Linked DNA regions of Danio rerio. The protein of the gene in region 1 purifies or fractionates together with the protein of each later gene. This does not show direct contact. Links are inferred from orthologs where the notes say so. Each region holds a gene or a part of one and is shown on either strand. Other genes may lie near its edges. The genes, in order: ube4b and ubl7a.

Region 1 (6,376 bases):
ATCCATGAACTAAACCACTTAAAAAAAAAACTACAAAAATCTAATTAAAAATAGAGAAATGCAAAAGTAATAATTTAAAGCAGAAAATGCTGAGTTCCACACAATTCCTTCATGTTGTCCCAGCACAAATCGATTACGTTAACTTAATTGTTTTTACAAATTTAAGTGGATTGAACATAAAGCATGATTGAGTGTTGTTTGTTTCATCAGTAGAAATGACATACTTTGAATTTAGTACTAATAATAATACAAATAATTAAGTTTGTAGAAAGCATAGGGAAACAATCTTAAAGGCACAATATGGAAGATTTTTTTCATTAAAATATATATGATAATTCAATTCCAATGTCAACCTTGGCATGAAAAAAATTCAGTTTGTACCAAAATACGGAAACTGTTTCTGGGTTTTTTAGGTAAGCAAGTATTTTACAATACTATAGAAATACTCAAAAATGCATCTGTCAGTGTTTTCAAACTATTCTATTTGATTTACCAAAGTCACACAAGTGGCTATTTCACATCGGTCACATCCATAACTGAGAGATGTCACATCCATAACACTTTCCACATAAAAGTGAAAATATTTAATTAAATAAAACCAATCATTTTTGTTTTATAGAAAGCCAACTTGTATCCTTTTGATTATCATTGTTTCTTTTGGGTTGTGTAGTTTAATTTACAGACTTTCTACAAAGTATGTTGTATACTGTAAACCGCAGAGTATTTTTGTCATTTAAAAGTACAAAACATGTTTACATATTGATATTTTTCTGGTCCCATAACTCTGTGGCAACTTGTTCTGGAAAATATAAACAGATGTTTAAATATAATATTAACATATACTTTCTATGTGAATTTATGTTTTGAGTTTTTACTGCAAATGTTACATCCATAACGCTGGAATGGCTCATATATATATATAATATTATTATATATATTATTATTAATATTATTAATATAAATTTAAAACAGAACAGTGTTATATATTTTCCTGACTAATGCGCTTGCATTATCCCAAATTTTTAAAAGAATATTCAAATTCAGAGAAATAAGCAGTTTAACTAGTGATAGGACCTGTGTCCTCCTGTGTCGCCATACTTATGACATCACATGCCCTCAATTTCTGGTTAGATTTGTTTTATTGAAAACAATATTAAAGATGCTTCTTTCATATGTTGTGTTATATTAGACTGTACAGAGCAGCGTTAAAACGGAAGCTTAAAATGTATTTAGTATGATAAAACAGCGCTGCTTTTTCTCAATGTGACCATTAGAGAAAGAATCTGAAGCAGTCCACTATGGTATAATAAAAGCTCTGTTGCTTTTGTGCCATGTCACGCTCATCTCTTTTTAGCAATTACTTCAACGCTCTCATTTCACTTTTACAGCTTTCAGGCTTACTCTAACTTCATACTACCACGAGAATAAGGTGTCAAATATTTTTGCTCATCCATAAACATGTTTTTGCATGAGCACCATTGGATATAATGATTTCACACTCAGTCACTGCATCATCAAACTACGCCTTTGTTTGTCATAAATATGCGCCCTCTACAGGTTAAAATTATATATTGTGCCTTTAATTAAACTGCAGTGCTTCATGAAAGTGGAGTTCTTAAAGTTTCTTGTTGTGGTTTTCTTGCTGCAAATCTATGATTAGTGGAACGGTCTGTACAATCATGAATACAGTTTTTGTGTACAAATTCCACATTTCAAAAACGTATTCATTTGAACAAGTGGCTCATGTAAAATGCATGTAGTCAATTCACAACCTTGAAAATCACAAAGGGTCCATCTATAAAGGTATAGTTCACCCAAAATTAAAGTTTCCATGATTTACACATCCTCCATTTTCTAGCAACTATTAAGATTCAATTTCCCGAAGGACAAAATGAATGACTGCTCCATACTCGACCTGCAACTGTTATATGCTAACGTTAATATTTACAGTTTTAAACAGTTGAATAAAATATACTATGATGATGTCAACTGGAGGACTTGCAATAATGTGCACTTTGTGAAGCTGCTTTAAAACATTAATTATTGTAAAAAAAAGCACTATAAAAATGAACTTGAATTGAATAAAAGCATGGAGATCTTGCAAAGGGAGAACATTTGTACTGCAAAGACTGATATTTTACTGCCATTTGGTACAATGACAACACTTTAATTGATTATAACCATATATGGTTAAGTTAGCAAATGTTGTTTGGTTGTTTTTATGAGTGAATCTGTGTGAAGCACCTGTTCAGATCCCTGATGGCCCTCAGTCTCCTTATGTAGCGCCGACAGCATGGGAGGATGGACAGATGATGTGCGTGAAGCGTTAAGAAAAAGCACTCCGTTGGGAACTTGGGCTCTGAAAACTTGGTTGGGTCTTCATCTGTGGGAAAATTAGAGGAACAATAAACCGGCTGCCTGAAGTCAAACTAAGCATCTAAAGTCATTTATTTGTTCCAGAACAGAGCCCACACTCACGCAGCTCAGTGAGCCAGCTCTTTAGTTCCTCCATAGTGGCTTTGAGCCGCGTCTCTTCCGGGCTGACATTCAGCCGACATTTGGGGTGGAAGATATAGAGAGGATCCACTGTTTCCAGCTTGATCTTCATACTGAGCTGCTGCAGGACCCACAGGAAGTTCATCATGAAGCCGTCTGTGGACACCAACTTATCATCGGTCTAAAAAAAGAAAAGAGAAATAGAATTGCATCATGTGCTCTCATTAAATCGCAAGACCTAGATCCATTAAGAGATCTAATCTATTGTTTGTTTGTTTTTTAATTGAATTTTCTGCATATTACATGATATCAGCTAATTACCACATTAACTTTAAAATAAACACTTCCCTACCCACAACCCACTGCTTCCTATAAGGGAAAAATAGTAAATCAATCATTATATAAGCAAATAAATAATTATGATAAAAAAAAACAGTAAGATTATTTTATGAAATTAAATTAATAATGAAAAAAGCATAAATAAAATATATTTATAATTACAGTTGAAGTTAAAATTATTAAACCCCCTTTGATTTTTATCCTTTTTTAAATATTTCTCAAATGATGTTTAACAGAGCAAGGAATTTTTCACAGTATGTCTGATAATATTTTTTCTGCTGGGGAAAGTCTTATTTGTTTTATTTCGGCTAGAATAAAAGCTGTTTTTAATTTTTTAAACACCATTTTAAGGTAAAAATTAATAGCCCCTTTGAGCCATTTTTTTCGATAGGCAATTTATTGTATAATGATGGTTTGTTTTGTAAACTAATTACCCTAACCTGCCTAGTTACCCTAATTAACCTAGTTAAGCCATTTAGTTAATGTCACTTTAAGCTGTATAGAGGTGTCTTGAAAAATATCTAGTCAAATATTATTTACTGCCATCATGGAAAAGATAAAATAAACCAGTTATTAGAACTGTGTTATTAAAACTATTATGTTTAGAAATGTGTTGAAAAATTTTTTTCTCCGTTGATTTTTTTCCAACTTATTACAAGCAAACAATTATTTTGGTCACGTATCAAAAGAGGGTAGCGATACCCGTTTTTTTTTCCACATTCAAGCACAGACGGTCATCAAGAATACCTTGGTAAGATGGCATTTAGAAAGAACCCCACTGGAACAGATTTACCTGCATCTGAGCCTTCTTCACATTACGATTCACAAGAGCTGCCATGTAGCTCAGAGCTGCTTCCCTTGTCTCTCCATTCAGCAAGATGTTGTGCAGGATTTTAAACAGATCTCCCTGGAAAAACACCACCAGCACAGCACAAATACAATTACCAAATGTTTTTTGTTTTACAAATATGCTGATATTTAATTTGGATTTTAACATATAGGAAATATATTGAATTAGAAGTTTAAATTTAATGGCCAGTTGTTCCAAACCTATGAGACTTTCGTTTATCATTGGAACACAAATTAGGATATTCTGGTTCAAATCTGAGAGTGAAAGTCTCACAGGATTAGGAAGAGAGTAAGTGATTAGTAATAATTTTATTTTTTAACAGTAAAAAAAAAGTATTTTTGTAAAGGTTCTTGAAACAATAATTATTGTGAAAAGCGCTTCAATTAAATTAAAAAAATAAACTTGAATTTAATTTTTGGCTAAACTAACTCTTATTTTAGAAAAAGACTCACTATCTGATTTAGTATATTAAAAATGTCCATTTTTTCTTTCTTTAAAAGTAAAAATATTGCAATGCATTTATACTACAACAAAGATTGACTAAAACAACACAAAGGTCTGGTTGAAAACCTAAATCACCAAAACCCAAAAGCGGACAAAGAGTCATGCACCCCTGCTCTATAAAAAGAATACACTTCTAATATTGGAGCAGCTCATTAATAATCTAGGAGGAGTATGTGATATGAAGGCTCACCCTGGCAGACTCCAGATAGTGCTGCAGAGACTGGCTGACCACACGCGTGTTCTCCATAGTGATGGCAGGGCCTGAGAAGTACTTGTCTCCCACTTTAGTCTACAGAACATCAGACAGACAGCTAAATAAGGTACTTTCCTCCCATCATCCTTCATCGGAGCTGTGGCTTTGCATCAAGTCGTATTTGTTTAAGGAGAAAAACGACTTACGTCATCTTCAGCGAACACAGAAAGGCTGAAGAACGCTCCGAGGAAGGAGAGTCTTTGAATTTCTCTTCCTGTCCCGGGACTGAGAGGGTCAGGACACCACAACGGCAGAGAGGTGATCTAAAAATACACGTAGACAGGCAATATTACCAGTGAACCACATAACCTGACTGACTTCAGTTCTTAATCTATGGAAAAAAACCTACCAAATTGCATACAGGGTGAGTCTTCCCGAACTTGATTTCACAGAGCTCGGCCAAAGCCTGGAAAATAACATCATATTGTTCATGGACATTAAATAAGAATCTGAGGTCTGTGACAAATTTAGAGTAGATTTTTTTAGGGTATAAAATGTGCTAAATATCAGATAAATCTAACTGTAGTGGCATATACATTAAGAGTTTTTGTGGTGATAATGTTGTCTATATTAGGCCTTTAAAAGAACAACAAGCAGATTCTTACCATCAGAGGGAACTTGAAGTTGTCACTGTCAAAAGAACATTCTTTTACAGCTAAAGCAAGCCCTTGAAGAATGGGAACGAAGATCTGAAAGAATAACAATGCTGACCATTATCAGGATGAAACTGCATTTATCTAAAGTAAACAAGCTTCTTGTCTATTCTTCTAATCTTCAATAGTTACAGATCATTTTAAATGGCATACACTACCACCCAACCAGTGAGGATTTTTAATACAAAAGAGGTTGTTTACACTCATGAAGGATACATTTATACAAGAATATTTAAATATACAATAATTAGTGAAATATTTTTGCAATGATGCTTCTCTATTTAAATATATTTACAATTTTAATTTATTCTAGTGTTGAAACAGCCATTACCGCATTGTTTAGTGTCATATGATCTTTCAGAAATCATTCTAATATTCTAGTTTCATATTCAAGAAACATTTCTTTCTATTTTAAAGTTACGCTGCTTAGTATTTGGTGGAAACCGTAACAGTTTATTTTAGGGGTTTTGGTAAATGTGCATTTCTAAACAATAGCGTTTTATTTGAAATAGAAATATTGATTATAATTGGGGGCGGTGCGATGGAGCAGTGGGTAGCGATGTTGCCTCACGGCAAGAAGGTCGCATGTTCGGGCCTCGGATGGGTCAGTTGGCATTTCTATGTGGAGTTTGCATGTTCTCCCCGTGTTTGCGTGGGTTTCTTCCAGGTGCTTTGGTTTCCAACACAAGTCTAAAGACATGTGCTGTGGGTAAATTAGGTAAGCTTAATTGTCCCTAGTGTGTGTGAATTAGTGTATGGGTGTTTCCCAGTAATGGGTTGCAGCTGGAAGGGCATGCACTGGGTAAAACATATGCGGGGTAAATTGGCGATTCATTCCACTGTGGCGACTTCTGATTAATAAATGGACTAAGGCGAAAATGAATGAATGAATGATTAACTGGAAAGCTGCTTGTGATGCACAAGCACAAAATAGTCAGAACAATGAAATATAAAACAGACTGCGTAATAAACTTTCAAAGATTAAGCCTGTAAGAATTGTTTTACTACAAATATTTTTGATGTCTTTGACAATTCAAAACATGAGCTGAAGACAGGGCCAATGGACTCCACAACCCACCAGGGGGGAATGCGTGAAAAAACAGTTCCTGCTGCATTTGCATCTGAGTATGCTGAAAACTCAGCTTCATCCCCCCAACTCACGCATATGGTCATTTCAATGTTTGAATGTTCTAGAATTAACCAAACTGACTTTAACCATCATGTTTGATATCATTTGAAATGTCTTAGTGCGATTGGTACAATGGTCTCATTCTCTCAGAA
Region 2 (6,919 bases), on another chromosome or scaffold:
CTAAATAAGAAAGCCCTATGCACTTTAAAACTTTGTGAACTCTACATTGTATTTATTTGATTATTACATATGTATATTTGTATTTGATTTATGCTTACCCCCTGGCATGTATATTTCTTCGTACTGTTAAAATTTTATTTTTAAAAAATATATATAAAATAATATAAATATATATATATATATATATATATATATATATATATATATATATATATATATATATATATATATATATATATATATGAGCAATTCCAGCGTTATGGATGTGACATTTGCAGTAAAAACTCAACACATAGATTGACAGAGAAAGTATATGTTAACATTATATTGACAAATTTGATTATATTTTCTAGAGCAACTAGCCACAGAGTTATGGGAGCAGAAAAATATCAATCTGTAAACGTGTTTTGTACTTTAAATGTGGAAAATAAGCATGCGTTATGGATGTGACAAAAAAAGTCTGCGAGTTTACAGTATACAACACACTTTGTAGAAATTATGTGAATTAAACTGCACAACCCAAAAGAAATAATGCTAATCAAAAGGATTTGAGTCGGCTCTCTATAAAACAAAAATTATTGATTTTATTTTATTTAATATTTTCACATTTCTGATGAAAAAGTGTTGTTATGGATGTGACATCTCTCTGTTATGGATGTGACGCATGTGAAATTACCATTTGTGTGACTTTGGTAAATCAAATAGTAATAGTTTGAAAACATTAACAGATGCTTTTTGAGTATTTTTAAAGTACTGTAAAATACTTGCCTACACAAACAACCCAGAAATGGTTTCTGTATTTTGGTAAAAACTTAATTTTTTTTCATGGCAAGGTTGACATTTGCACGGAATTGCTCATATATATATATATATATATATATATATATATATATATATATATATATATATATATATATATATATATATATATATATATATATAAATTAATATAAAATATTAAAAAAAACATCATTATACAATAACTTGGCTAATTACCATAACCCGCCTAGTTAACCTAATTAAACTTTTAAATGTCACTTTAAGCTGTACAGAAATGTCTTGAAGAATATCTAGTCAAATATTATTTGCTGTCATCATGGCAAAGATAAAATAAATCAATTTTTAGAGATGAGTTATTAAAACTATTATGTTTAGAAATGTGTTGAAAAATCTTCTTTGTTAAATATAAATTGGGGAAAAAATAAACAGAAGGGCTAATAATTCAGAAGGGGCTAATAATTCTGACTGTTTTGTTCATTATTAGTAAATAAACAAAGTTATATTAACTAATGAAACTTTATGTTCAAATGTGACCTTAAACATAGTTTACCTTCCGAAATCTTAGATATGAAATATCAAAGCATTTTTCTTCATTATTCATAAAAAGAGATACAGTAAATGCATTAGCTTGCATTTCGAAACGGCTAAACACTTTTGTTATTGTAAGTGTATATGTGTTGCATAAGGATGCTGTGCAGACCGGGGTAGTTCCAAATGGAGCTTTATTACCAGTTATGGTCAATCAGGCAGGGGTCAAATACCAGCATAAACAGTGTAGGAGACACTGCAGATCCAAAAACAGGCAAAAAGGTTCAGGGCAGGCAGCAAAGGGTCAAAACACGATAAACAGTCTAAGGTCAAATACACAGGAAACTAAGAGAAACGCTTATGTATGAACAGCAACAGCTAAACAATACTCAGCCAAAACATGGATCCAGAGGGTTTTAAGATCATGTGTCTGCGTCAGGAGGCCCGGTCTATAGAGGAAGATGTGGAGGACTCCATCCAGGTAGCCCATTTAACATCTTTGGATGAATTATGCCTGATGATTTTCTTTCGTGGAGGACTTTCTGAGCCCCTTTATTCAATCATGCCATTACACCAGCCCCACTGGACATTAGAAATATACATTGAACTGGCATTACAATAAAGTGGGCCCCCCTTCACTGTTGGCAAGGTGGAGGAGACCCCTCAAAGGACAGCAAGACCCGCTGGCAACGGGGCTTGCTGCTCATTCCACCACCACACAGCCAGCTCACAAGCAGGGCCGGAGCAAGCTGAAGTGCCGCTCTAGGCAAAGGACGGTCATGCCGCCCTCAACCATAAACAGGGGTGGAAGAGTGGGTGCCCTCTCTATTCTGCCGCCCTAGACGCAGATATAACAAAGGGCACGGGTGCTGAGGGTAGTGTCGGGGACGCCGCTCTTTCTATTCTGCCACACTAGACGTGGATATAACTGAGGCCGTGAGTGGTGCGGGTAGTGTCCAGACGCCGCTCTCTCTATTCTGCCGCCCTAGACACGGATATAACTGAGGGCGCAGGTGGCGAGGGTAGTTTTGGGGATGCCGCTCTCTATTCTGCAGCCCTAGATGCAGATATAACTGAGGGCGCGGGTGGTGCGGGTAGTGTCCAGACGCCGCTCTCTCTATTCTGCAGCCCTAGATGCGGATATAACTGAGGGCGCGGGTGGTGCGGGTAGTGTCCAGACGCCGCTCTCTCTATTCTGCCGCCCTAGACACGGATATAACTGAGGGCGCGGGTGGCGAGGGTAGTTTTGGGGATGCCGCTCTCTATTCTGCAGCCCTAGATGCGGATATAACTGAGGGCGCGGGTGGCGAGGGTAGTTTTGGGGATGCCGCTCTCTATTCTGCAGCCCTAGATGCGGATATAACTGAGGGCGCGGGTGGTGCGGGTAGTGTCCAGACGCCGCTCTCTCTATTCTGCCGCCCTAGACACGGATATAACTGAGGGCGCGGGTGGTGCGGGTAGTGTCCAGACGCCGCTCTCTCTATTCTGCCGCCCTAGACACGGATATAACTGAGGGCGCGGGTGGCGAGGGTAGTTTTGGGGATGCCGCTCTCTATTCTGCAGCCCTAGATGCGGATATAACTGAGGGCGCGGGTGGCGAGGGTAGTTTTGGGGATGCCGCTCTCTATTCTGCAGCCCTAGATGCGGATATAACTGAGGGCGCGGGTGGTGCGGGTAGTGTCCAGACGCCGCTCTCTCTATTCTGCCGCCCTAGACACGGATATAACTGAGGGCGCAGGTGGCGAGGGTAGTTTTGGGGATGCCGCTCTCTATTCTGCAGCCCTAGACGCGGATATAACTGAGGGTGCTGGTGGCGAGGGTAGTTTCGGGGACGCCGCCCTCTATTCTGCTGCCCTAGGCGGCCGCCTAGGTCGCCTCTATGGATGCGCCGGCCCTGCTCACAAGATGACCATTCTCCTAATAAATCTGCATTTGGAACAACCCCGGTTAGCATAGCATCTATACACAACAATATAGATAAGTAAATATTTTGTTGATCATGATGAAATGTGTTTCCCAGTACTGGGTTGCAACTGAAAGGGCATCTGCTGTGTAAAACATAAGCTGGATAAGTTGGCGGTTCATTCCGCTGTGGCCACCCATGAATAAAAAAGTGACTAAGGCCAAGGAAAATGCATGAATGAATAATGAAATGTATTTTGTTTAAAGAATTGTTAGATTTTTTGTTCAAAATAAATAGATCAAATAACCTGATACTATTTTTCACATTCACCAGTGAATGAGAAGATGCTGTTTAAAATCAATAAATGATGACTTTTATCAATGAAATTAATATTCGTCACAAACAGTAAACGGAATTATGTATGCTTCTTTAAGATAAAAGTGTAATTAGGCGAAACTGAACAGTTATTTAATATAACGTAGTGTCACCAGACATTATGAATGATCCATAAGCCCTGCAATAATGTCATCTAATATTACTGTGATGTTACCTATAAGCTCGGGATCTGGTATGGCATCAGGGATCTGTGCAGAGACCAGCTGTTTGAGAGTGGAGACCCGATACTCTCCGGGAGGAACATCTCCAGGCTCAGCTTCTGGAAACTGCAGTAATGACTTGGGTAGTGAAGGTTGATCCACCAGCTTTAAAGACAGACGCCACTCCGAGAACGCCATCATCTGACGCGCGGTTTGCAGCTGCACGGGGAGCGCGTGCTTCTTTTGGCAAGGCAAAAGAAAGGATTAAAATGTGTTTCGGTCTTGAAAACACAATGGATTAAAATAAACAGAATCACGCGACTGTTCTCATCCGTGCGTCATGGCGTCACCGAAGAACTGTCGAGTTTGTGGGAGTTGTAGTTTTCCTGATGTGTTCGCAGGCTGTAGTGCTCAATTATGAACAGAGAAAACACAAATAATGTGTAGGTTTGAATACAATCTTTTACAGTGTATGAATAAAATATATTTATATGTTTTATTACAAAGATATGAGAATATTTCTTTCAAATTTCATTAAAATAAAATATTGCCATTTAGAACATTTTATTTCTTAATACGTTTACATTTGGCCAGGATAATAGGTGTTTTTGTTTTTTGTGAAAAAAAATTAGGGTTATATGTAAGTGTCCTAAACGCAACAAATAGACCAAATGTTTAAAAAAAAAAAATAAATAAATAAATAAAAAAAAAAATATATATATATATATATATATATATATATATATATATATATATATATATATATATATATATATATATATATATATATATATATATATATATATATATATATAGTTGTTAATCTAAATTATTAATAAGCATTGTTTTACCCAACTCATGAGCAAAACCTGAAATTACCCACGGATCATGGCGGATCTATGCAAATAAATAAATACTATTTTCTTTGAAGCGTTTTTTTTTTAGCAATTTTATTTTTGTTTTCTTGCTTAACATAATACCACAGTGTGTTACAGTCTTTGAGGGAATACAGAGACAAACATTTGCAATAGCAATTAGCATTTCTACTCATCTCAAAGGAAGTTGCTCCGTGACTATCACTTGGTAAGTGATTATCCAAAAGGACTTTGTAAAGTTTAACCCTCTAGTTTTTTTAATAGAAAGCACATTTATAACCGTTTGTATTAGCACAGTTTTAATACACAGAGCCAGGTTGAATTATGTAACTTCAAGAAGAATATCTAACGTTATGGCTACAAGTGTTTAAAGTGTTTGGGTTGATTTGTTTGGTTTTTAAGAATAATGTCCTAATCTAAAAACATTAATGTCGCTACAGATACATATGATACTTACAAACTTATTCACAATCATTTTTAATTCAAAGTAAAAGCTTTTTTTCAATAGCGAAATATTGGCCTCGACGGCCTACAGTGAATATATCATGTCAATTTCAGAATGCAAACTTTACAAAAAGTAACGATTGCTATACAAGGTAAGATTATTGTTGGTAGTCACAAATTACCCATAGGATTGCTACTCTTGACAGTTAAACATTGCTGTCTAATTTCACTGACAAAAAAAAGAAAAAGAAAAAAAAGAAGACATTTTGTTTTCCATCTGTTTTAGCCCATTAGCATAGGTAAGCCTAAAATAACATCTAGATATATGCTAGCAATCCAAATGTTGTATCTTTTGTCAAAGCTACTTGATTCAGTAAACTGAGTAAATTAATGGAAATGTTTGATTACTTAAAAATGTAATGTAATGTAATGTAAGTTGTAATCTGCTACTTAAAACTACACACAACCTTATTTATTAAGAACCATTAAATAAAGATAGGAATTATTTAAAAATGATTAAGTATTTAAATGTTTTCACATCTTCAATTTTTTCTCACTTTGTTGTTGCCTGTTAATAATAATAGTTTAAGAAGTAAACCTGAACTTTACTAGCTGTTAGCATAAATTAAATGATTATTTTTTCCAATATTTCCCATGTGCTGTTTAATGGAGAGATGTTTTCAACTATTTTTTGGCAGTTTTTGTTTTTGCAAACCCACCAGAGGCAGTTGTGTACGCTTTTTGAGATCTCAATTTTCTCTCGCGAGTGCCATTCGTGCACTGATTGACCGACGGACCGACCCTCCTCCTTCTTTAAACCCAACTGCAGTATTTAGAAAAGCAATCCAGAAAAAGAAAAGCCCTCACCTGATTTTTACCACTTTTTCAGATTTTACCACATTTTCACCCTGTTATTTACTTGTTTATTTTATTTTTTTATCTTTTGTTTTTGTCTTGCCAGCTTTCTGGAACTGTTCTTCGGCAGATTCAAACCCCATTGTCGCAGTCAACTTCGCTCTGTGTGTCAAATCCGACGACATAGGAACTACCAGACAAACTGGTAACAGCAGAAAAATTGTCCATACGGAGGTAAGTGGTCAGCTGATAAGCGAGTACAGGAACGGCGTCATACTGCACTGTAGCGTTCATTTTAAAGACGAAATGCAGCCATACGTAGCTCTGGCTACATAATTCGTGATCTCCAGAAATGTATATAGGGCTACATTTTCAGAATGAGCCTTTGTTGGTTACCTAAGTTACCTAGGCAATTTAGGTTATTTGGCAAGTCAATTGAAAAAAAAAAATTAGGCGTCATATAATATTGACCATAAAAGAATCTAATTTTTTAAATTAAAAACTTCTTTTATTACTGGCAAACTAAAAGAAATAAGATTTTCTACAGTAGAATTTTTTTAATATGAAATACGGTGAAATTAATTATATTTTACATCAAATACTGTGAAATATTTTAAAATGTAAACAATATTTCATGGGAGGGCTAATTATTAGGTCTTCAAACTTTAGTTTATTTACCAAGAAATGAATGTTTATGGTAACATTTTTACAATCATCAGGCCTATAACGAATAAGCACATTTTCAATAAATATCTCAGGTATTTTGTAGTCCATATTAACTTAAAAATGGTTGTGCTTAAAAATAAATAGCTTATTAAGACTTTGAGCATTTGGTGATGTGCTCCCTGCTGAAAAATCTAGCTTAAACCAGCCTAGGCTGGTTGGCTGGTTTTAGCTGGTTGACCAGTCTGGTTTTAGAGGGGCTTTGGCCATTTCCAGGCTGGTTTTAGCTGGTCAGGCTGGAAAATGACCAGCCAAATCCAGCTTTGACCAGCCTG

What was found.
Region 2: the proteins of ube4b (region 1) and ubl7a purify together in Homo sapiens (affinity purification with mass spectrometry; 3 studies listed by BioGRID and IntAct, counting the BioPlex papers as one, with this or other methods). This does not show direct contact. The link is inferred for Danio rerio from reciprocal best matches to the Homo sapiens genes UBE4B and UBL7.

The regions. Positions count from the first base shown.
Region 1 is NC_133198.1:32,461,279-32,467,654, forward strand, and holds part of ube4b (ubiquitin conjugation factor E4 B), read right to left. Parts: intron 5,132-6,376; coding exon 5,048-5,131; intron 4,849-5,047; coding exon 4,792-4,848; intron 4,706-4,791; coding exon 4,589-4,705; intron 4,479-4,588; coding exon 4,380-4,478; intron 3,743-4,379; coding exon 3,629-3,742; intron 2,678-3,628; coding exon 2,479-2,677; intron 2,384-2,478; coding exon 2,245-2,383; intron 1-2,244. UniProt on the Homo sapiens protein: Ubiquitin-protein ligase that probably functions as an E3 ligase in conjunction with specific E1 and E2 ligases. May also function as an E4 ligase mediating the assembly of polyubiquitin chains on substrates ubiquitinated by another E3 ubiquitin ligase.
Region 2 is NC_133200.1:34,179,503-34,186,421, forward strand, and holds the start of ubl7a (ubiquitin-like protein 7a), read right to left. Parts: upstream 4,090-6,919; 5' UTR 3,946-4,089; coding exon 3,762-3,945; intron 1-3,761.